7 linked regions of the Kluyveromyces lactis genome follow. The protein of the gene in region 7 interacts with the protein of the main gene of each other region in a biochemical or structural test. Links are inferred from orthologs where the notes say so. Each region holds a gene or a part of one and is shown on either strand. Other genes may lie near its edges. The genes, in order: OTU1, UBP2, CUE5, GTS1, SSM4, DDI1 and UBI4.

Evidence for each region.
Region 1: of the proteins of UBI4 (region 7) and OTU1, one has a biochemical effect on the other in vitro, tested with the Saccharomyces cerevisiae proteins (3 studies listed by BioGRID, with this or other methods). The link is inferred for Kluyveromyces lactis from reciprocal best matches to the Saccharomyces cerevisiae genes UBI4 and OTU1.
Region 2: of the proteins of UBI4 (region 7) and UBP2, one has a biochemical effect on the other in vitro, tested with the Saccharomyces cerevisiae proteins (3 studies listed by BioGRID, with this or other methods). The link is inferred for Kluyveromyces lactis from reciprocal best matches to the Saccharomyces cerevisiae genes UBI4 and UBP2.
Region 3: the proteins of UBI4 (region 7) and CUE5 form a complex in vitro, tested with the Saccharomyces cerevisiae proteins (5 studies listed by BioGRID). The link is inferred for Kluyveromyces lactis from reciprocal best matches to the Saccharomyces cerevisiae genes UBI4 and CUE5.
Region 4: the proteins of UBI4 (region 7) and GTS1 form a complex in vitro, tested with the Saccharomyces cerevisiae proteins (2 studies listed by BioGRID). The link is inferred for Kluyveromyces lactis from reciprocal best matches to the Saccharomyces cerevisiae genes UBI4 and GTS1.
Region 5: of the proteins of UBI4 (region 7) and SSM4, one has a biochemical effect on the other in vitro, tested with the Saccharomyces cerevisiae proteins (2 studies listed by BioGRID). The link is inferred for Kluyveromyces lactis from reciprocal best matches to the Saccharomyces cerevisiae genes UBI4 and SSM4.
Region 6: the proteins of UBI4 (region 7) and DDI1 form a complex in vitro, tested with the Saccharomyces cerevisiae proteins (8 studies listed by BioGRID, with this or other methods). The link is inferred for Kluyveromyces lactis from reciprocal best matches to the Saccharomyces cerevisiae genes UBI4 and DDI1.

What each region holds. Positions count from the first base shown.
Region 1 is NC_006040.1:484,366-487,212, forward strand, and holds OTU1 (ubiquitin-specific protease OTU1), read left to right. Parts: upstream 1-1,387; coding exon 1,388-2,347; downstream 2,348-2,847. Other genes in the region: LAM6 (Lam6p), read left to right, coding at 1-88; RFU1 (Rfu1p), read right to left, coding at 332-901; BUD20 (Bud20p), read right to left, coding at 2,514-2,847. UniProt on the Saccharomyces cerevisiae protein: Hydrolase that can remove conjugated ubiquitin from proteins and may therefore play an important regulatory role at the level of protein turnover by preventing degradation.
Region 2 is NC_006041.1:219,510-223,487, forward strand, and holds the start of UBP2 (ubiquitin-specific protease UBP2), read right to left. Parts: upstream 2,801-3,978; coding exon 1-2,800. Other genes in the region: FRQ1 (frequenin), read left to right, coding at 3,738-3,978. UniProt on the Saccharomyces cerevisiae protein: Has an ATP-independent isopeptidase activity, cleaving at the C-terminus of the ubiquitin moiety in natural or engineered linear fusion proteins, irrespective of their size or the presence of an N-terminal extension to ubiquitin.
Region 3 is NC_006042.1:1,483,883-1,487,030, forward strand, and holds CUE5 (ubiquitin-binding protein CUE5), read right to left. Parts: upstream 1,785-3,148; coding exon 501-1,784; downstream 1-500. Other genes in the region: hydroxyacylglutathione hydrolase GLO4, read right to left, coding at 2,524-3,148. UniProt on the Saccharomyces cerevisiae protein: Connects the ubiquitin pathway to autophagy by functioning as a ubiquitin-ATG8 adapter and thus mediating autophagic clearance of ubiquitin conjugates under starvation conditions.
Region 4 is NC_006039.1:1,495,902-1,498,896, forward strand, and holds GTS1 (Gts1p), read left to right. Parts: upstream 1-1,343; coding exon 1,344-2,495; downstream 2,496-2,995. Other genes in the region: MND1 (Mnd1p), read right to left, coding at 1-655. UniProt on the Saccharomyces cerevisiae protein: Appears to modulate the timing of budding to obtain an appropriate cell size independent of the DNA replication cycle. Transcription factor involved in both heat resistance and flocculation.
Region 5 is NC_006042.1:2,566,262-2,570,231, reverse strand, and holds SSM4 (E3 ubiquitin-protein ligase SSM4), read left to right. Parts: upstream 1-1,170; coding exon 1,171-3,942; downstream 3,943-3,970. Other genes in the region: KLLA0_F27709g (uncharacterized protein), read left to right, coding at 1-662. UniProt on the Saccharomyces cerevisiae protein: E3 ubiquitin-protein ligase which accepts ubiquitin specifically from endoplasmic reticulum-associated UBC6 and UBC7 E2 ligases, and transfers it to substrates promoting their degradation.
Region 6 is NC_006041.1:910,648-913,867, reverse strand, and holds DDI1 (Ddi1p), read left to right. Parts: upstream 1-1,475; coding exon 1,476-2,720; downstream 2,721-3,220. Other genes in the region: COX15 (Cox15p), read left to right, coding at 1-257; MAG1 (DNA-3-methyladenine glycosylase II), read right to left, coding at 455-1,285; OCA6 (protein-tyrosine-phosphatase), read right to left, coding at 2,818-3,220. UniProt on the Saccharomyces cerevisiae protein: Aspartic protease. Appears to act as negative regulator of constitutive exocytosis. May act at the level of secretory vesicle docking and fusion as a competitive inhibitor of SNARE assembly.
Region 7 is NC_006041.1:74,448-77,487, reverse strand, and holds UBI4 (ubiquitin), read left to right. Parts: upstream 1-1,394; coding exon 1,395-2,540; downstream 2,541-3,040. Other genes in the region: ECM29 (Ecm29p), read right to left, coding at 2,804-3,040. UniProt on the Saccharomyces cerevisiae protein: Ubiquitin exists either covalently attached to another protein, or free (unanchored).

The sequences.
Region 1 (2,847 bases), on a different chromosome or scaffold from region 7:
GATGAACACGAATAGTGCTTCCGTGATTGAGGAGATTAAAGATATACTCAATGTTTACAACGAACTTCCAATGTCCAACGAGGAATGACAGTTTAGTAAAGATATGACCCTAACATGAAATGAGAGGTTCTAGTCTTCATCATCCGAAACACTGTATCTGGTATCTAGTTCAAAGGTAATAACATTTTTCTCATAGTATTTGTAACATTTATGAATATCTGTAATGACTGATGATGAAACTGAAATGCGTAAATGTTAAACGCGGAAAACAAGGTAAAATTAGTGTATAGGTGACTATATGCAAGGAGATGCTAAATTAGTAAAGATAAATCTATAATGCTGGCATGGTATATGTGACCGACGTGGATGTCGCATTGAGTTCTGGTAATTCGGGATATTCATTGTTAGAGTCTGACTGTGCTGAAAAATGCTTTGAACTGTGATTAAACCAACTTATAGATTGGTTGAATTTTTGTTCATCAAAGGAACTCGGAAGATTAATTTCATCCGAAGGATTTGTCGTCATGACAGCCGGCGATCTCACGTAGGTCGATGTCGCAACATTGTTTGCCAATGACTTGTATCTTGCATCTATTTTGATTTTCAATTCCTCAGTAATCTTCATGATAGCAGGGACTTCCAACTTCAGCAGTTGGAAGTATTCTCTTTTGTATAACGATTCCACTGATGTGTTAACTTCTGAATGATGCACAAGTCTATTCAGACAAAGATCTAAGTATCTAATATAAAGAAGATATGCGCGCTCCATATTATTGCACCTGGCACTATTTTGAGCTTCCTCGACAATGCTAATGCAAGTTGTCAGATACAATTTCAGAGGCACATTTGAATTGAATCTATAATTAAGAGCTTCTTGCTTTAAGTGTGAACTGGATTTCATTGTATCAGATGGAGTAGCAGTGTTTAATTAATTCGGGTACCGTATATTCTTTCGAGTAAAAGGAAAAAGCTGGGATTTAAAAAGATTATTCAGTTTAACGGGTTCTTCTCCTATTTTCCAAATCGCATCTATAACTCAAGCTGACACAACGCTTGCCCAACAGCAGCTGATCCACCACTGGTGCCAATAAACTAAAAGTTCCATTATTTCTTCATGCACTCAACCTGTCATCTCATCTCATCTCGTTGTGGTTTTGACGTTTACTGTTCTTGCATGCAAAGAAAAATGTTTGCTGTGATGTACGGGTTAATTTCACTTGAGCATGTGATCTGTTTTTGGAATCCTCTAAGTGCCTAAGCAATAAGGGGAAAATCGGATAGAACAACAGACTATCTATCCATCCCCAAGAGGATAGCCATAGCATTTCCATATATATCTGTCGAATAACCACCGCTAAACGAGACTTAATATATTTCCTATTCGCAGATGAGGGTCAAGGTATCTATTTCTGGGAAGAGCGACAAAGTTTTAACTGTCGAAGCCGAATGTGATTTGGAAACATTTCAGGGACTCATTCTGTCCTCATATGAAGATGATCTATCATTGCAGAGTATGCGGTACGGATTCCCACCTCAGAGTATACTTTTTCAGGGGAATGAGGCTAAGACACTTGAAGAGCTAGGAATATGCAATGGGGAACGGATCATAGTGAGCCTGAGTAAAGCCGATGAAGCTATTGCCACCAGAACACAACCAAGTATTAATGCCAGTAAAGCAAATACACTACCCAATAAAGAAGTGAAAAAGAAGCCCACTGGTAAATCTGAAAGTGTACAGATAGATTCAACTAGAGCACTACAACTCCATGAAGTGCCCGATGACAATTCGTGTCTATTCCATGCTATATCCTATGCTGTCTACAAGAACATTTCACTGTCATCAGAACTACGGGGAGTTGTGGCGTCAGAAGTCCGGAGAGACCCATTTGAATATTCAGATGCTATTCTTGGCAGGCCGAATCATGAATACAGTGAGTGGATAATGAAACATTCTTCATGGGGAGGTGGTATCGAGATTGCAATATTATCGAAACATTTTCAGTATGCGATATACGTGCTCGATGTGGATGCACGTAAATTCGAGAAATTCAACGAGGATTTATACGATAAATTTATTATTATAGCATATAACGGAGTTCATTATGATACGGTAGAGATATTTGATGGAACTCAGCATCAAACTGTATTTGACATCGGAGAGAAAGATACTGAATTCCTTTTACAAAAAACACAGGAGATCGCGAAGAAGATGAAAAGAGAGGGGAAGTCTTTCAATACTGCAAGAGATTCAATTTTATGCAATACTTGTGGCACCACCTTGATTGGAGAACGAGAGGTGAGCAAGCACGCTGAGAAAACTGGTCATGTTGATTTTAGGCAAAAATAAAACAAATATAACCATTGAATAATATTGAAGAAAGAAATAGCACTTAATATATGAGCGTCTGTATATCTACCAGTTTATATAATTGCACTTTCGGTGTATTTCTCTTGTGTTAAATGATAATATACATTGAAGAAAAAGCACAGGAAGTGAAAATGTTTTCCTGCATCTAATCAGCCATTTGAATTTCCCCTTCAGCAACTACAGCTTCTTGCTGTGCTTGTTCCTGTACTGCACCATCAAGGTATGGCAAAGTGGATTCTGTTGTGCTGACGTTGGCCAAAGTGGTATCAAGATGTGAGGTTAATATCTTTTCGTTTTCCTCCTTTTGAGGACCAATTTGAGATTTGATCTGCTCTACTCTAGCCAAGAACGAGTTCACACCACACCCAACAGCAGCATCTGCTACCTGTTGAGTGTATGGAACACCTTTCAATTCCTTCACCCTTCTCTTATGGATTTTAGTCTTCAAATGAGTCTTTAAGGCATATGCAGTTTCGAAA
Region 2 (3,978 bases), about 150 kb from region 7:
CCTCATCATTGACTGGTATCAAGTCCTGTTTAATTCTACCGTAAAACAACTGTTTGACAAGATCATTCTGTTCCAAGTCGTCTTCCAAGCTCAAAGGTTCTGAAGCAATCTCAAGCTGAGCCAAGACGTTACCTATACATTCTGTAACATCTTGTTGTCTTCCGATCTCCAATGTATTTTCAAGTTGGTCCGCACTGATTTTAGCAACTTGGACGGAATATTGCTGTGTTCCTGCTTCTGACGATGTTTTATGTTCGGGGAGCGCAACCGGGCTCTGGCACATTATGATATCATCATCACAAGACGCTAGGTGACGAGTAGTATCAGTGGGGTCTTCGACGACGTCAGTTGTTAAGTCGATGAGTTCTTTCTGGGCAACAGTATCGTCACCGAACTCCACCTCGACATTACTCGGAGCAAAGGCTAAGTAGACCAACTCTTTTGTGGGCGTGACGCATCTACTGTTTGTGTGGATCATGTCATTGAACAAATCACGAAGATGGTAGACAAACTGGACCGATCTAAGCTCTTCTTGTTTGCTGACCTCCCTGCCTCCAATTCTTCTTCTAGAGTGATATTCAGACGCATCCAGTAATTTAGCAGAGTCATCATCATAATTCAAAATAAAATCACGTAGAGGTTTGATAGTGAAAAAGAATTGAAGTAGTGAGTTTAGGTAGCATGTATTTCCCACATTATTGATTCCAGCTGGCCATGTAGCAACAGGAAGACAACTTACGTCCACAATACCGGTGTCTAAAAAGTGGTTGATAAGTTTACTATTTCTAGTAAAACCAATATTCTGAAGGGCCATTTTCAACTTCAATAGATAATCAGGACCTGTCATAATTCCGTGACTCCATTTCTTTTGAAAAACTTCAAGGATGACATCGTCGCTTGCATTCATGTCAATTTCAATGATGTTCAATGCTTCATCGTATGATATGTCAGTGCAGTTGTAATATTGCGCAAATTCTGGACATTCATCTGTCAAGACATTCAAAAGAAATATTGAGCGCCTATCTAGTGCTATTGTAAAAATCGCCCGATCATAATCTTTTTTCAAACCAGGGGCATCAGCAATATTGATCGTATATGCAGTTTGGATAATATCATCATCTACTGTCTCGTCTACCTTTAAAAGAGTGTAAGCTTGTTGTACATTATAATATGGTTCATACTCCACCAAAAACAACATCTTTTGACTACCTAAATATTTTCCTAGCACACGTAGGGCATTTCTTAGATCTTTTCTTTGATTATCAGAGCTCCTTAATAGATGAGAATTGTAATATTCAATCATCGTATTGGCATCAAGGAGGCTTGCGTCAATGTCAGTTGGATCTAAACCAAATACCTGTAATGCATTATTCAAATCTTCATACCCAACAACATCTTGTTTTCCACAGTAAGCAATAAGCTGGTAACTACCCTTTGCGTTTGTTACATATTGGAGAGCATCAAAATAATGGCTGATGTTTTCCTGATCAAGTGCAATTTGAGTTTCATAGTTTTTAATGATATCCTTATCGATGTACTTAAAAGCAACAGATAGGTTAATAAAATGGTAATTTATGTCGTAGGGGAATGGTTCAATGTGTTGGTGGTTCAAAATATTGAACCACCATGTGTGACTGGCACTAAAATGTTGATTAGAAAAGCACTTTGCCACTGTCTTCTTTTCAGTACCAAGTTCATTTTCAAGTAGCATCGACTGCTTACCAATTAAAACAACCTCCATGGATTTTCTGGTATACGCCTCTCTAATCCCTCTGACCTTAAAATCTGTGATATAATCAACTAAATCTGGTGGCTTATATTCCTCTCCAGATTGGACATTATCTTCTACAGCGGTCTTCTGCAAACTGAAATCAAACATTGTCGTTAACCAGTCAGTATTAATTTGTGAGTTGAGTGCAACACTATCCCTGGAAATAATCTTAAACTCACTATTAGCAGATTTCCTCTGTAATGGGTTCTTAAATATCATGAAAAGAGTTTTCAAACACTCGGCTTGGCTAGGAATATCGTCCGGGTTCAATAAATCAAATTCTTGACATGCATTTTTATATCTTTCCTCAATTTTTGCTGTTCGATATTCAGCTAGGTTCTCTGAATTAAATTCTGGTTTTATTATCTCAACAAGTATAAGTTTATTAGTATCAGCAGAAACAAATATACTTTGGTCTACTAATCTACAGTCTTTCTCTTCCATTATAAAGATATCCCTTTTGTCGAATGGATGTAAAGATTCAGGCTCTAAAACATGATAATGAGTTATCCCAACGTGTCTATTGAAATTTTCCAAGTATGATCTCCTTTTCACAGTAATCTTCAAATGAAAGAAGTATTCAGGAAACTTGTCAATGTCATCAAAGTCATTAGGAGTAAAATTCGGATCTACCAGCAATGCGAACATAACACTGATGGTATTCTTCCCTGGACAAGTCATTGAATCATAATCATATCTGCTTCTCAAATTAACCTGGTCAATTAAATGCACTAGGTTCCACGGTTGCAATTGCTGTCTTTCCCTCGAGTACTGAAGCATTGGTTGTTTCATCACAGATGAACCAAACTTCTTCAAGAACCATGGTGAAATCCTAATGTCATCTAAAATTCGATCGCATGTTTTGAACGGAAAACTTTTCGAAATATCTCCGTACAAAAGCGTCTTACCATCGTCTACTAAATCTGAAAATGATTCCAACGACTTAGATCTCAGTACTTCTGCTGTTTCCGAAACAGAATCTCTCTGTTCGCCATTCAATTCTAAAGCTGGTTCTTGTGAAGCCATCATCAATTCGAGATTCTATTCTCTGCCAAGCTATCCTCAAATTGTCACAATATACTGTAGCGTGTCAAATGTATCAGAATTGAATCACTGGGAGTATTAGAACGAGCCTAGAAGTGGCAAATAGATATTTTTAATTATGCATTTGCCAAAGGATTGAAGATCTAGTTTTCCTTAAAATTTAATGCAATTACTATTCTGATTCTACTTAATTCTTTTGTTACCCTTTAAAATTTGTCAATAGTGGAAATCTGTAGACAGAACCACAATGAGTGTGTGGTGTACGGATTTATACTCACAGTTTTAAATTTAAACGCATTTATGGCGGTACAAAGGGCATTAAAATGAGTCAAAAAGGGCCTCTATTCAAATTACCTATGCCCTGTTTGATGTAACAGCATTGCTATTATTCCGAAAAGACTGAAACAGCTTTACAACTTGTTTTTCTGAGTACTACGTAAACTATAATTTATAACTCAATGTAACCTATTCAACCTTTGAATGTTGAAATAGGTTCATAAAATCCAGAACTTTAAAACGCAGTCGTTGAGTTAAAAAGAGGAAAAATAGTTCGATCAGTGGCACCGCTTCATAGTGAGCATCTGAAGAATTTTAGTAGTCGTTACTTGAACACCAACAAGCAAAGTAGAAGAGGAACGGTCATCTCTGTCACTGTTTCTATCGTTACTTTTAGAGAATCATCTATGACGGACTTCACAAGCCACTTTCCTACAACGAAATCTGTAAACTGCAGAAGAGAGAAAAACATAATTAAAAAAAAACCAATATAAAAGATGTTGCATGAGGAGTTGAAAAATTTAGGGAGGAAGAGCTTCAGGGTCTAGTCAATATCTTTTCCGAAACTGATCATAGGTAGCTTATAGTGGCGTTTGATCACAGTAAGTGTTAAGATATATACTATCCATGGAATAACAATAATAAGATGGGAAATAAAACGTCTACACTTTCAAAGAATGATTTGACCAGTTTGAAGCAATCTACGTATTTCGATCGCAGAGAGATCCAACAGTGGCACAAAGGGTTTCTACGGGATTGCCCGAACGGCCAGCTAACTAGAGAAGAGTTCATCAAGATATACAAACAATTTTTCCCCTTTGGCTCGCCAGATGAGTTTGCTACGTATGTGTTTAGCGTGTTTGACAAGGATAATAATGGATCCATTG
Region 3 (3,148 bases), on a different chromosome or scaffold from region 7:
TTTAGTAACAGGGAAAAACTGAAAATTTTATTGGTCTTTCCTATATAAGAGGATGAGATGATGTCCTTCATAAGAAGTAGCCGAGTTTCCTCTACGTGGCTGGAACATTGAACGAACAGGAATAAGTGAAGGGTAGGTGCCACACATATTCTTGTCTCTGAATACGTTCAGTTGTGATGGTTCAATTACATCTTGATTTGTGTGTTTTTTTATCTTTTGAAGGATCAAAAGAATCATTACTGAATGTGGATTCATGTAAAATGTCTTACCTAACTAAACACAGGTATCCCCTCGAGATGATGAGATATATCATTATTAACCTTATCTACATTATCTGAAAGTTTAAATTTCAATTGAAGATAAACATGTACAACAATAGCTGAATTTTTTTAAAATACTCGATGTGGTGACAACTGTGTTCTGGAAGTAGTAAATATACGTCTTGTTGCTTGAGGAAATAATATTTAAGTAGTGGTCAGTTGTACAAACACAACCTGCGATTAAATATCCAAATCAGAATCTGTGATAATATCTTGATCTTCTAACGTGATTGGCCCTTCTGTGTTCTTATTGCTTGCAGTTGGAGTTACAAGCTTTACATCGGATTTTTCTTCGGTTGAGGCAGTTTTGTCCGTGCTTGTGTTTAATTTAGAAGTGGGTGTGGATCTTGTTGGAGATTCACTGTGCGGTGCCAAGGTTTTCAAAGGAGAACGGTTATTCTTACCCCTTACTTGTTCTGGAGTGTCTATGTATGTTGTCTCTGCTACGACTTTCTTGGCCCTTGATGGTAATTGGGGTGGGATATCGTCATCAGATCCAAAATCTAGATCATCGTTGTGCAATGAGATCCCAGCATTTTGTAATTTCGTTTGGCCATCGACGTTGTCATTGCCATCACGGTAACGATCTCCGAAGGAGTTAAACCTCGACTGAGAATATTTTGGACGGGATTCGGAATAATTTGGATCGTCATCCACCAGATTCTTGGTGATGCCACTGAACCATGTACTGATCTTTTTACCAGTTTCCTGGATATTACGGTTCAAATTTTCACGAATCTGGGGTAACTCCTTATCGACGAAATTACTGAACACATCGTCTTCACCGTCATCTTCGAAATTGTCATAGCCGTCAGAATCACGTCTTCCCTTTGGTGGAATTGCACCTGCTCCGTACCTCCTCTCGTAATCACGTTCACGTTGTCTGATTCTACGCTCGCGTGCGGTTCTCTCCGAAGCGCTATTGCCATGTTTGTTGAATTTCTTATCCAATTGACGAGCCAATTCTTCGTCCTGCTCTAACTGCGTTTTTGGCTCACGTCTTACACCACGAGTTGGCGCTTGCACCGGTCTAGTTGGTAATGGAGCCTCTTTTTCAAAGTCAGGGTCCGATATGAATAAAAGAGCGTTGAAAGCAGGATCCAACTGGCCCTGAGAAGCAATTAACACTGCCTTCACATATTTCTCCTCAATGTTTGGGAACGCTTCCTTCAATTGTTTTAACATAGGATTTTCCTTTTCACTCTGTTCTTCTGGAGAAACCGATTTTCTTACAGGCAAGGGAGGTGCTGAATCGTCCTCGTCCTCCTGACCGTGATCTTGCCCTTCCTCCTGTTTTTCAGCTTTTTTCACGTTCTCTGTTTCGGTTTCAGTGTCTGCTGGAACTTCTGCTTCTACATTTGAAGCCTTAGTTGCCGCTTCTTCAACTGTTTCCTTGACATCTTCGATCTTCTTGTCTTCATTAGAATCAACGTCAATTGCGACGTCTTCAACTTTGTCACTCATGGTTATATTAGATCTTTCTAATCAAAAAGAATTTGCACCTGTAATTTATCTTCTTCTAATATCCTGGTTGGTTCTGTAATTGAATATTGGCGAGATTCTGCACGGATATGTTCTAATAGGGGTTCTGGTTTTGCAGTCCTAAAGAATCTATATATATTCTTCCTATAATTCCTATTTCTTTCCCACATCATCCTGTCCATTCGGTTATCCGGGTAAGGGCCTTATTTTTTTTCACTTTTTCATCTCATCACGTCAAAGTTGAAGAAAATAGTTTGGACTATATAAAGAGGAAGACTTTAAAGAGGTGCTTGTAATCTCTCTTAATACTATATCACTCTGTCATTTTACCTTTATAGATCTTGATATATTTGTTTTTTTTTCCTAACTCCTCGGAATCTTATTATTCTCTGTTTAGATAAGAACTTGGCGATCAGGGGTCCTTCTAACCTGATACATCGTCGAGCGTGGACAACAGAGAGAAATTAGATGCCGTTGGTTAAAAAAAACTTTCTGGCATATAGTTTAACATAGGGCTGAATTCGTGCCGGCTTGCTGGTTCGTATGAACTGGATGTTTTGCATCCAGGCTCTTAAGACTCGAAAATTTTGGGATGGGTTTCTAAGATCGCTCTATGTTTCACGCACATTTTCACTTAAGCCTATTTTTTTACCGTAGATCACTCATAAACGAATTGTAAGGCGTTACTTAATAAATACATATAGTGTGGACATGTCATGTATCATGCCTTGTTCTTCATGTTTCTTAACTTGTCCATAACTTGGGCTCTGGTCCAACAACCTTGAGAATCTCCGACTTGTCTTCTAACAATTGGATCATCAAGTCTCATAAAGGGATTGAATGATAGTTCATCGGCAATGGTAAAGTGACCAGTGGTGACTTCGTGTTCCTTGGTAAAAGATTCCAATTTATTGAAATGGTCGTTATCGCTTTTCTTCAAGTATATGTAATTGCGGATGAAACTTACGTTTCCTGCAGTATACTCATGACCTGGATATACTTTCACATTCTTCCAATTGGAAGTATCTCCTGTATTCCCTAGTAGTCTGAAGTTCAATGCATCGTCCATTTCTTCAGCAGTTCCTTCGAAAAACCTCCCACATCCACCAGTGAACAAAGTGTCACCGGTGAAGATTGCTTGTTCTTTGGTTTCAGGGTCACGCACGTAGTAACAAGTGGAATCTTGGGTATGGCAAGGTGTTCTAATACACAAGATTTTCAAGTTCCCCAAGGTGTATTCATGTAAGTTATCTGGGATATCATTCGCAATTGGAGAACGTTGAGAACCGGCAATGACTCGAGATATATTATTGCCCTTTTCATTCAAGGCTGCAAGTGTTGACACA
Region 4 (2,995 bases), on a different chromosome or scaffold from region 7:
GTATTGTTTCAAATTGATTGAATTCATTAGGAAGCTCCAACTCAACTTTCAAATCAGACATTTGAACACAATACGTAGATGAGATATGCCCAGTGATGCAATCAATGTTATCTGCAAGACCTACAGCAAAACTTGCCTTTTCAAACAAATTATGTTTCTCCTGTTTGATGCGCTGTGGAGTCCAGTTATTTTTGGATAATTCTTCATATTTGGAGTTCAATTCACGAATTGTCTTTTGAACCTCTTTCAATTTACTTAGCTGTGCACTTCTTTTCCAGCCGCGTCTATTCTTCAACGTATCACTCCTCTGGCCTTGAATTTCCTTCTGATACAATTCCTGACACCGAGCAATTTCACTTTTCTCATGCTCTATTCTTTTCTCTATGTTACTGGCGTCGCTATTCAACTTATTTTGCATCTGATTTTTGAAAGACCAATACACGTTAATGTTCCCACACTTTTCCACACTGATCAATCCATCTTCATCAATCATCTTTTGTACTAATACCTTCACTAACATGGAAGATATGCCACATTTCTTGGGGATATATTTCTCTAATTCCTTCATGTTGTATACGGTATGTTCTTCTTGGAAAAACCTTAGGATACGTGCTTTTTTCTCGGCAAGCGAAACGGTATTCTTACCTGGGGCCATGTTGAATTATTTGAACCTTTTAATAGACTTAATTGAAGCTGATGTCTTTGATGTGATGATGGTTCTTCTTCTGTTTGTTTTTAACCGCTGAACCTTGATAAAAATATATAAAAGAAGACGAAATGTCATTTTCCATGGGGAAATTTATAAACAGTAACATATTTTGGTGAAAGAAGTATCAGAATCGAGAGTAATTGAATCAATTCAGAGATGCCATATTAATAGCCATGGTTGCTTATAATTGGGGAGGCGGTTAGCTGCTATATACGAAACATTAAAATAGATCCTATTCTCCGGCTAAATGACAGACCACGTGAGAATAAACTCTCCTGAGGCAATATGATAGTACATAGCTTAAGCCTGTCTATCACGTCATTATTCAAAAGGTATCCAAGATGGTATATCGTACTGACTGCTTCCAATAGACTTACGTTTGTTGAACAAAAATAGCTCTTGAAATATTCTATGCGGTTGAAATTCCGAACAGGAACAGAAGTTCTATGAATGAACGAAGCATAAAATGGTGAAAGTGAAGAACGGATATTGAAAATAAAAAAAAATACTTCATATTATAAGATTATAAAGACCCAACGCTAGAATTACGTTTATATCAAATAGGGGTCCCAAATTGGACTAGTCGAGTTTAGGTAAGGTTTATTGAGGAGATACTGAAGCGAGGAAACCAAAAATGAGACGATCAAGAGGTGAATCTGTAGAACATGATTTAAAGTTTTTGCTTAACGCTGGTGAGAATTCAAATAAATGTGGTGAATGTGGGACACCATTCCCTACCTACTGTTCAGTGAACTTGGGTGTATTCTTGTGCGGTCGGTGTGCTTCCGTACATAGGAAAGTGTTAGGCAGCAGAGAAGATGGTGCTACTAGTATCGTGAAATCTTTATCTCTTGATAGATGGTCTAAGCGTGACGTTCAAACTGTTGCCGATCTTGGAGGAAACAAACATAACAGCAGTTTTTGGAACCCTAAGAAAGAACCTTTCCCATTTGACGGTGACGAGGATCGTACTGCCGTTGAAATGTTTATCAGGGATAAATATTTAAAGGGTAAGTTCAGACATACCGCTGTCAAGGTGGAAGATTTCAATCTAGAGGATGATTCGTCACAATTGGACTACAAGTCATCCCGCCCATCATCTGCGTCCGGGTCCAGAAGAAACCGTTCTGCCTCATCTGCCAGCAGTAGACCAAGATCAAGAGAAGGAGACAGACCTCCGCTTCCAAAAAGGCCGGACAACAAAGTGCAAGAAGCCGTTTTCGATGGAACAAGTGAACCAAGCCTACCTAGTACAGCATCGGCAGAACCTCGCCCAGCAGTATTCGATGGGGTACAACAATACTATGATCCAACTACCGGCCAAATTTATGTAGATCAAAACTCCTATGCGGCAATGCAGCAGGCCCAGGTACAAGCATTGGCACAACAAGTTCAACCTCAGTTTACACAACAGGTTCAACCTCAGTTTACACAACAAGTGCAACCCCAATTCACACAGCAATTACAACCTCAGTTCACCCAACAGGTACAGCCTCAATTCACTGCTCAACCATCGATAGATAAGAACACACTATTATCACTGTATCAAAGACCAGATTTATATTCTAGTGCCGTAGAAATCAAACCGGATAATCCACAATACCAACAGATCCTGAATCTCCAAAAACAACAGCAGGACCAACAACAGCAGCAACAGCAACTGCTACAACAACAGCAGCTACAACAGCAGCAACAGCAACAGCTCCTGCAGCAACAACAGTTACAACAAATGCAATACCAACAACCACAACAGTACCAACAACAATTCTACCCCCCATTCCAATAGATCATCATCCCTTGGCCTTCTTTGCAGCTGCAGCTGCAACTGCACATCTGCTACCGCACTACGGTTTAATCTCTCATACCTATGTTTGCCTATATAATACGTAAATATGGCTAAAACCAAAACACCGCTACAACTAATATCTAACTTTGTCTTCCTCCTCTGACGTTTCACAACGTCTGCTATACACTCTTATCCGGAACATCCACGATCTACTTACTACCTAGCTATCACCACTATTATCTTACTGACCATCAAAAAAAAAACCTCCCATTGACTCATAACCAATCATATCTTATTTGCACTTAACGAGCGTTTTCTTAAAACCGTTCCACCAAGCACCAGTGTCTTTCCACTGCCTTTACTGTGTACGTTTTCTGCGATATATCTGTCTTTCCTTCTTTGTTTCTTTATTTCTATATAAAGTTCAAAATGACTTATTACAAACTAAGTTTTGATCCTTAAAAACCATTTATAAGAAATAAGAACGCCCCCCCTTGTAA
Region 5 (3,970 bases), on a different chromosome or scaffold from region 7:
TGGTATGTTCGATTTGTAATCATCCAATCGCGTTCCAAACTTTGTATGATGAATCAATGCCAGAGAAGATCCCACTTCTACTTCTTCTGAAACATAGCGTTTTCAAAATCTTTGGCAAATTAAATCACTATTTCAAATTCACATTGATTGCGTTCCTTTTCTTCATTGGAATTCCCCTGTCCTGGAATATCTGGGGGAAGCTATATACGGCTACTGTGGATGATTTTTCATTTCCTTCAAATAACAAATGGTATATCAATTTGATTTATGGCTTTGAAAGAAACATACCAAAAAATCCAACAACTACGGATATTTTATATCAACTAGTGATAAATTACAGATTTTCGTTGTTACAAATTCTGATGGTTTTGATCGTGCATGCTATCGCATATTTACAATATGATATGGTAGTCAGAGAGCCAATTTTCAATAAGATGATCTTGCATAAGATTGGACCAAGATTTTCAAAACAAGAGCTGGCCATGCAGTCATTAAGAGAAAGATTTCCAAATATGGATCCAAATGATATAAGCATGCTCATAAATGCCCTCAATAGACAACGACAAGACGATCCAAATGAAGATGATACTTCAGAAGACGAACAAGAACAGAACAATTTCATCGTAAACGAAAATAATGATGAGCCTCAGCTTGCCAACTAACTATAATCCCCCATTTAAATATTTACGATATTGATAATCTTCATATTGAAACATTGCATCAGCCTTCACTCCAGTTCGAAATAAACTTCTATATACAATATAATTCCCTCGTTGTCCCATCAAATCATTCACTTGCTTTAGTAAAACATGCTAGCCCATTAGATTCTCAAAGATGAATTTGGTATTACCCGGCTTATAATGGAAATTGAAATTTGAAGAAGGAAATTTCAACATGGGCGCAGACAATCAGTATATACATCGTCGACTGATCTCGTTTCACAACTAAGTACAACAGGTTAACAATATTTAATCTTTGCTACAATTGTATAGCTGTTGAAGTTGAATAATTATATCATAGAAACTGAATCTTCAACTTGAGTTTTCCGCATTAGATCCCTGCATTACTCTTTTCTTCTGATCACAATATCATATTTCTTCTGCAACATATTCATATCATTACCAATTAGCTGAGTTATTAATCGACTGTACTTTTAATTCACAATCCATTATGGAAAGACACTTTGCACAAAGAGAACTCGATGGGCGGTTGGATGCTCAACTCGGACGACCTCAGCCTGTTGAAGGAGAAGTACAAGAAGATGGAATAAATGCTCAACCAGCGGTTGTACTAGAGAATGAAGATGGTCAACCTACGGCTATCTTGAATTTAAATCTTGATTACAAATATTTACCGAGCTACTTTTCCTTAGTCTTTTCTGTCATTGGTGGATATCTTTTCATTTCATACGCTTTAGCCACACTTGTCGGATATCTGTTGAATTTCATTTATTTTAGAGTTGTGATTATAATGCTGAATGGAGTAATAGTGTCAGCAGAGAGGTTAAATATCCCAGAATACAATCAAAAGCTTATAGAAACTTTTTCTTTGGTATCCTACGTTGAAAATTGGATTAATGGGACAGTTTTAATGCCAATAGTATCGTACTATCAGGGATACATGAAAGGCACAGCAAAACATACGATGCTGGTACGAATGTTGGCGCCAGCCAGTACATATGCGACTTTCATAGTTCTTTGTTGCTGTATACCAGAACTGTTATCTAGAGGGCATTCCAAGAAGCTACCTCTAAAGAATTCTTTGAAAAGAACGATTTTCAAGTTTTCCTATATCATCAAGTGCACATTGAAAGTGCTAGGGTTGTTTACACTTGAACTTGCCGGATTTCCGATTTTAGCGGGGTTTTTGATTGATGTGTCACTGATCTCACCGCTATTATTACCACAGAGCAGCTTGACTTTCGTACCGAGTTTTTGTTCCTTTTGGCCGCCTATGACATTTATTATTTATTGGGCGATTGGTACTGTTTATATGTATCATTTTGCTCAATATGTCGGCATGGTAAGACAATATATTATCAGACCGGGTGTTCTTTTCTTCATAAGATCACCAGATGATCCTAATATTAAGCTATTACAGGATTCTTTGATATACCCAATGAAACTTCAACTCTCCAGACTTGCATTGTCGATGGCAATCTATACAGCATTCATTTTAGTAGGTTTTGGATTTCATACGAGACTTTTGTTTCCTTACATTTTACATTCGGAACTTTTACCTATGAAGCATGGATTGTCAACTCTCATAAAACCAAATTCTATGTTTTCTATTGCAGTCATTGCTGGAACGTATCTCATTCTCTCGAAGAATAGAGTTATTGATGCTTATGTTAGACAATATTGGGTCTTTGTATTCAATATATGCTGCAGAAAACTAAGACTTTCCTCTTTCATCTTAGGAAAAGATTCACCAACTGAGAGAGGACATGTTATTTATAGGAACTTTTACTATAAATGGTTCGTCCCAAACAAGGCAAAACTGTCCAACCTAGAATTATACTCTCATCCAAAATCGCTCGATGAAACCTATACTCTTTTCAAAACTATTCCTGATGTTCACGCATATTTTGTCCCCGATGGCACCATGATGCGCGTACCTGCGAGCGACATAATATCAAAAAAATATGCACAATTGTTGTTCGTCCCAGTTACTAAGGATGACAAACTTCTAAAGCCATTGGATATCGAAAAAATCAAAGAAAGACAGAAACGAAATGCCGGAGAATTTGGCTACCTAGAAAAACAGCCCACGGAATTTGATGAATATAAGGTAGTTTATGTCCCTCCGCATTTTACTTTCACTTATTCGCTGTTAATTGTCTTCATATGGATCTTTGCTTCCCTTTTGTTTACTGCTGTGTTATTAATCTCAAATTTTGCTGGGCTTCCCATTATCACTGGATTGCAATTATTGTTGAATGCGGTTATCCCCCCAGCAATGAAATTTCAAAATGAACTCTATGAAAGTGTAAAACCATTAAATCTTCTTTCCGTTTCTTCTGGTATGATACTTTTGTCTCTCGCTTTGTCATCCTACCACGCACATCTATTAAATAATATCCATCTAAATGACAGAATATTGGAGGTTAATGCCGAACACAATGGGGATGTTCCAAATAACGGTCCAAACGACGATAATCATCAGCATATAGTTCACAATGATGATAATATTCCCGAAAATGATGAAAATCCAGTAGCCAATGAATTTAGAGTACCGGAAATTGCTGAAGGTGATGTTTGGAACTTGATCAAAGGCTTTGTAACAATGGTGTATCCAGTCTTTACATTCTACTTTATGCCAATCATTTTCAAGTTGAATATCAATTATCATTCGGTCTTCATATTCACCTACTTCAAAGATTTCTACTGGAAAGGCGACGTTCTCGAAAACACAAGCCCTGATATATCGTTTGTTCCATTCCTTTCGAACCTCGCATCAAAATCAGAATACAGCGGCTATTCAGCTTACTCATTAATAGCTGCTCTATTGTTTTGTCAAGTAGCAGCAGTGGCGTACATCGCGGTACAGTGCAGTTTGAAGCGGAATAAAACATTAGGATTCAGAAGATTACTCATTAGGGTCACGGATATATGCTTTGTGTACCTCGTTGCAATGATTGCGGTACCTTTTGCTCTGCAATATAGTTTTTCTATGTTTGAATTCCTTACCCACAAACAAGTTTACACCTCTTCATGGGCACCATTTGTTTATTTCATTTTCATACAGCCTTCTGTCTCGGCAGATCATTCCCTTATGACTACATTTCAAAAGGCATTCTACTACGTTGATGTAGTGACGATTTCCTCGGCGTTCCTAACTGTGAGCTCAATTTTATCCAAGTCGCTTTACAATTCTTTATCTCAAAGTGTGAGAGACGAAGTGTATGCAAGAGGAAGGATACTAAAAAACTTTGAAGAATAGTTTGATCAGTCAAGATGTCTTTATAGAT
Region 6 (3,220 bases), about 840 kb from region 7:
GTACTGCTCATGGTATGATGGGTCTTGCCACTTTACAAGTCACTCTAGGTATTTTTACCTTGTTATATTTGGTTCCAATCCCTCTAGCTTCTGCTCACCAAGCTGGTGCCTTGGCATTATTGACAGGTTCATTGTTGTTTGCTTCTCAATTGAGAAAACCAAGAGCCGCAATTAGAATCCTCACCGGTGGACTCTATACACAACAGCAAAAGGCCTCTTCTAAAATCTTAACTGAGGCTTCCAAACTTGCGAAGTGATCTTGGGAACTACGAATGGATCCTTTTTTTTCAATTATTTTCTTGTTTGTCCCCTTTACTTCCTATTTATTATAAACACTGGGCAGCACATTAAATGTTATCTTGTAAATATATATACTCAAAAGTTGCTACCAGTGAACTCCTACCTTACTTTAAAGTGTACTGTTTATACACAGCAATTACAATGCCTCTAATTATTACTTCGACATAAACCTTTTCTCATTATTGATGACAACTTCCATGTTAGTATCCGACATTCTCCAAAGAACGAACATAAATAACGTTCTATGGGGGCTAAATAAATCACCACAGAGCTCAACCACGTCTTCATCGTGGATTTTCCACTTGAAACTCTTGTGCTTTATTTTTGATTTCTTGATAAGAGTCCGCTTGCTGTGAAGCTTCTTTAAGATCTCTGGTCGTTGTTCCAAGTACCTTGAACATCCCCTTGCGATTCCCAAATCTTCAGCTGCAAATACATTTAAGCGATGTAAACCTGTAACTAAAAACATCTTCGCTGACCACGGTCCGATACCCTTGATATTTGCGACTAGCTCTTCGATGATTTTATCATCGTCTGCAAAGGCAAAGAGATCTTTTATAGAATCCTCGTTATTGAAAAAATATCCAACCAAGGACTCAATATACATCAGCTTCCTTTGAGATAACCCACATTCCTTAAAAGCTTGTTTCTTCTTCGAGTCTTGGAATGTTTCGTGCAGTGTCTGATAATTAGGAAAAGTTCCATCAAACATATCTACGATCCTGCCTCGAATATTCTTCGCAGCTGCACCACTGATCTGCTGTGAAATGATGCTACCTGCCAATTTATTAAAATAAAGGTCCATCGAATCCTTGGCCACATTTTCCTTGAGAAACATGGTGAAAGGACTATGCTCAATGATTTCTTTTAATGTGGGGTCAATAGTTAAGATATGTTCTATTCCATCACGGAATGAATCAATGTGCTGATCCAGATATTCTTGGTCCACATCCACCTTGAGGATATCATCCCTTGTCCTTTTCATTTCAATATAGCCTTGGCGACACTTTTGTCCGTTCTTTCTTTCTTTACTTTCGAGAAGTTGTTTTAAGGTTCTCTGACATATAAGATTCCTTTATTAATCAAGATCAACTTTAATTATCAATTATCACTTTATTCAATGGAAAATAAACACTAAAACTGAAAGTTACCATTACTAGGCAACCGTATCAGAGATGAACATCACCGTCACTTATGAGCACTCTGATGATGTCCTTGGACCTTTTGAATTGAGTGAAGATATGTCGCTTATCGACCTTTTCGCATTGATAGACTTTAAAGAGGAATCTCAGATCATATTTCACAACATGAAGCAACTTGACACTAAGAACACGAATATAACTTTGAAAGAGGCTGGCTTACAAAACCATGATATGCTTTTGATAAAACCTAAGAATCCCGCTAGTTCCCAGGCAGCTTTCGGTCAACCTCAGGAGATCGATTTGACGGATGAACAGTACATTGAACAGTTCAGGACTTTCCTATTAGAGAATCCAAGTATGGCTCAAGAGATGGGTCTTCCAAACTTAGAACATATGATAAATAATAAAACCCAATTTCATCAACTACTAGGTCCGGTGTTACTTTCCAGACGTGGTGAAAGATCAAATAACCCATTCGGTATCCCAAATTCTGAATACTCAAGATTAATGAGCAACCCTGATGATCCTGTGAATCAAGCACGGATTTCGGAGTTGACCAACCAACATGAGATTGATGAGCAATTACGATATGCGATGGAATATACTCCGGAGTCTTTTACCCAAGTGTCAATGTTGTATATAAAATTAGAAATCAATGGCCACCCAGTCAAAGCGTTCGTTGATTCTGGTGCTCAACAGACTATAATGTCAACAAAATTGGCAGAAAGAACAGGGTTGACCTCTCTAATTGATAAAAGGTTCAGTGGTATAGCTCAGGGTGTTGGTACGGGCAAAATTCTCGGGAGAATCCATACGACTCAAATCAAAATCCACGACGTGTTCTTGCCTTGTAGTTTTACCGTACTTGACACTCCAATGGAAATGTTGTTGGGTTTGGACATGTTAAGAAGACATCAGGCATCTATAGATTTGAAGAACAATGTATTGAGAATATCAGATGTTGAGACCCCATTCTTGCCTGAATCTGAAATTCCAAAGGACTCCCTTCATGCACTGACAACTCCAGCAGCTGACGAAGTAAGAAAGGCAGCGTTGAAGAGGGACTCATCTTCAGGAAAAAATGCTATGACTGGCGATGCAAACAAAGTCAAGCAGCCAAAGATTCCAAGTTCTACCACAAATCAAACTGTTCCATCGTTCGCAGAATCAGACATAAAAAAATTAGTGGATCTTGGTTTCTCTAGGAAAGAAGCTATCAATGCATTGAATAAAACTGGTGGAAACGTGGACTATGCAGCTTCCCTTTTGTTTCAATAAGCAGGTATTGACCCAAAACTCTGCGCGCAGACTATTCTCTCTATTAATACTGAAAGAGTATGTAATGTACACAAAGTAGTATCAGATAATATAACAATCAATCATCATGGAACCTAAGTGTTGGCAAAGGATCTTTTGAAGCGGATAGCTGCGGTGTTAGATCGAGGTTCTCATCGCTCTTTCCGTTCTGATGTTTCGCACCTTTATCCTGTTTCGAACCCGTGGCCCCATTGTGCTTAGATCTGACTATTATCCAAGACACTTTGTCCGAAGGTTTCACACCTTGAATATCTATCTCCAGATTGAAGTTCTCGATGAAGTTTCTTTCATGTATATTTATGCTAGACGTGTATGTCATGTACTCGTTGAATATCGATACAGTGCTCCAATAAGAGAGCTTTCGTAGACATGCTATGACTAGCGATGTGACTTCCGTGTTCGAGTTCGAACAATGGATGTAACAAGGATAATGGTTCTTGTCGATCAAAAACTTGATACAT
Region 7 (3,040 bases):
TTCCTGTTTTTGTTTGTGCTGTCTCCCCTTTTCACTATCGATACGAGAAAAAAGTACAGAAATTGTTGCATTTTCTTCTAAATTCGACTAAATTAAATGCCGCTCAATCGCCTACGGCAGCCTACATGCCTATCAGAGAACTTCTTGGACTCCTTACTTAATGAAGTCCCTTTCCTCGGATGCTGAATGGAGAAAGACCATACAGCTCAATATGATGGAAAGTGTCACCTGAGTATACGACAAAGGCGTTAAGAACACCGCTATCATAAAAAGAGTCGAAAAAAAAGTGTCATCTAGGACTATAAGACAAGTAATATCGAAGAGATTCTGGGCAGTCCGAATTATCCCGCCAGGAACCTCAATGACAGAGATATTTGGCCTGGGTATGTTCCGGGAGCATCTGAAAGGTCAAGAATGAATTTAGGAGAAGCCAGGCAGATAAAATATGATGTATGTTACCCTGATTTAATCACGTGGATGACTTCGAGTCACTTTTTTCGTCTGTCTGTATCTTAGATTCTCCCCGCAAGTCTAAAAAAAAAGGATAAACTTCATTGTTCCATGAGTTTCCATGGTTACCTCTGCATATACACACTGTACTGCAGAAGGTATCAGTGGATACAAAGCGGTATGCTCTTTACTCTGAACAATCAAAGTTAGCAGTTCATTCCATATATCCCCGCTCTTCGTCATGCAATCATAAACCTCAAGTCATGGCGATCTGTAAGCCGGAGAAAAGATTCATTGCAAACAGTTAAAGATACAAGGCTGAAATACAGAGATGGCTGCAACGTAACAGATTCCAAACTGCCGGTTTTCCATCGAATTCCCTCTCGGGAAATTTTTCTTTTCAAACGGCCACCTTAGGCCGAGCGAAACTGATTACACTGGATGCTTTTATATAAATAGTGATCACTTGGGCGGCCGCCTTTTTTTCTCTCGTATTTGCCACTTCTGATTGTTCTTTCCCCCGTTTATTCTCTAAATACGTTTATCTTTTTCTAAGATATTATTCGGGTTAGATACTATTACTACCTATATCGCATTCATATATCTATTCTGAAAGTTTGGACAGCATAGCAGCTATCATTATTGTTCTTATTTTCATTTTTTGTGCTATATTCTCCGTTATTAGTAAGAACTGATAGGGAGATAAAATAAAAGAAATAAGCGAACAAGTTCCTTTTTTTTTAAAAAAAAAAGGGAGTATATATAAAAACAAAAGGGTTATTTTGGCAGTTTGTTTCCTGATATTATTAACAACATCATATTGGTTAAGAAGGAGCATCAAGAGTTTCTCTCATAGAAGATACTGACTCAAGGTTATACTATTTCACCCCAAATTATTTACCCCCCCCCCTCTCATTCCCCTTAAAACTAGATCAAGAGAAAACATGCAAATTTTCGTTAAGACTTTAACTGGTAAGACTATCACTTTGGAAGTTGAATCTTCTGACACCATCGATAACGTGAAATCGAAGATTCAAGACAAAGAAGGTATCCCTCCAGACCAACAAAGATTAATTTTTGCAGGTAAGCAGTTGGAAGATGGCAGAACCTTGTCTGACTATAACATCCAAAAGGAATCCACTTTACATCTTGTCTTGAGATTAAGAGGTGGTATGCAAATTTTCGTCAAAACCTTGACTGGTAAGACCATCACTTTGGAAGTCGAATCTTCCGACACCATCGATAACGTCAAGTCTAAGATTCAAGACAAAGAAGGTATCCCTCCAGACCAACAAAGATTAATTTTTGCAGGTAAGCAGTTGGAAGATGGCAGAACCTTGTCCGATTACAACATCCAAAAAGAATCCACTTTGCATCTTGTTTTGAGATTAAGAGGTGGTATGCAAATTTTCGTCAAAACCTTAACCGGTAAGACCATCACTTTGGAAGTCGAATCTTCCGACACCATCGATAACGTCAAGTCTAAGATTCAAGACAAAGAAGGTATCCCTCCAGACCAACAAAGATTAATTTTTGCAGGTAAGCAGTTGGAAGATGGCAGAACCTTGTCCGATTACAACATCCAAAAAGAATCCACTTTGCATCTTGTTTTGAGATTAAGAGGTGGTATGCAAATTTTCGTCAAAACCTTAACCGGTAAGACCATCACTTTGGAAGTCGAATCTTCCGACACCATCGATAACGTCAAGTCTAAGATTCAAGACAAAGAAGGTATCCCTCCAGACCAACAAAGATTAATTTTTGCAGGTAAGCAGTTGGAAGATGGCAGAACCTTGTCTGACTATAACATCCAAAAGGAATCCACTTTACATCTTGTCTTGAGATTAAGAGGTGGTATGCAAATTTTCGTCAAAACCTTGACTGGTAAGACCATCACTTTGGAAGTCGAATCTTCCGACACCATCGATAACGTCAAGTCTAAGATTCAAGACAAAGAAGGTATTCCTCCAGACCAACAAAGATTAATTTTTGCAGGTAAGCAGTTGGAAGATGGCAGAACCTTGTCTGACTATAACATCCAAAAGGAATCCACTTTACATCTTGTCTTGAGATTAAGAGGTGGCATCTAATGGTAAAGATTTATTTCATATTTCCGATTACTGGAGTGAAACTCGATAGGGAGTTTATTAACGAGCTTGAGACCACGCAAAGCCGTTGTATCATTTATACTCAATTCAATTTTTTTTTTTTTTGCATTTTTTTTTTTTCCTTACATTCTTTGGATAAAAAGTTTAGGGTCTTGTATATATTATATACATTTTCAGAGATACATAACAACTATGATAATGTTATAAATAGTAGAAGATAGTAATATATCATCCGTTGGCAATTTCTACTGAGATATTCCAATATTTAAAGCTTCAGCTTTCAATACTGAGGAGTCATCCACTCTAAGAATCTCCAAAATGCCAAAGTCGACCATGGTATTGGTGTGGGGGAACTTTTCTTTCAATAGCCCACCATACCTTATCAGCTTTATCTTGACACTTTCAATAACTTCTTTCTTGTTGCATAGAGCGTGGCCATATTTCCAGATATCAATGAAAATGTGAGATACATCATTTGAGGA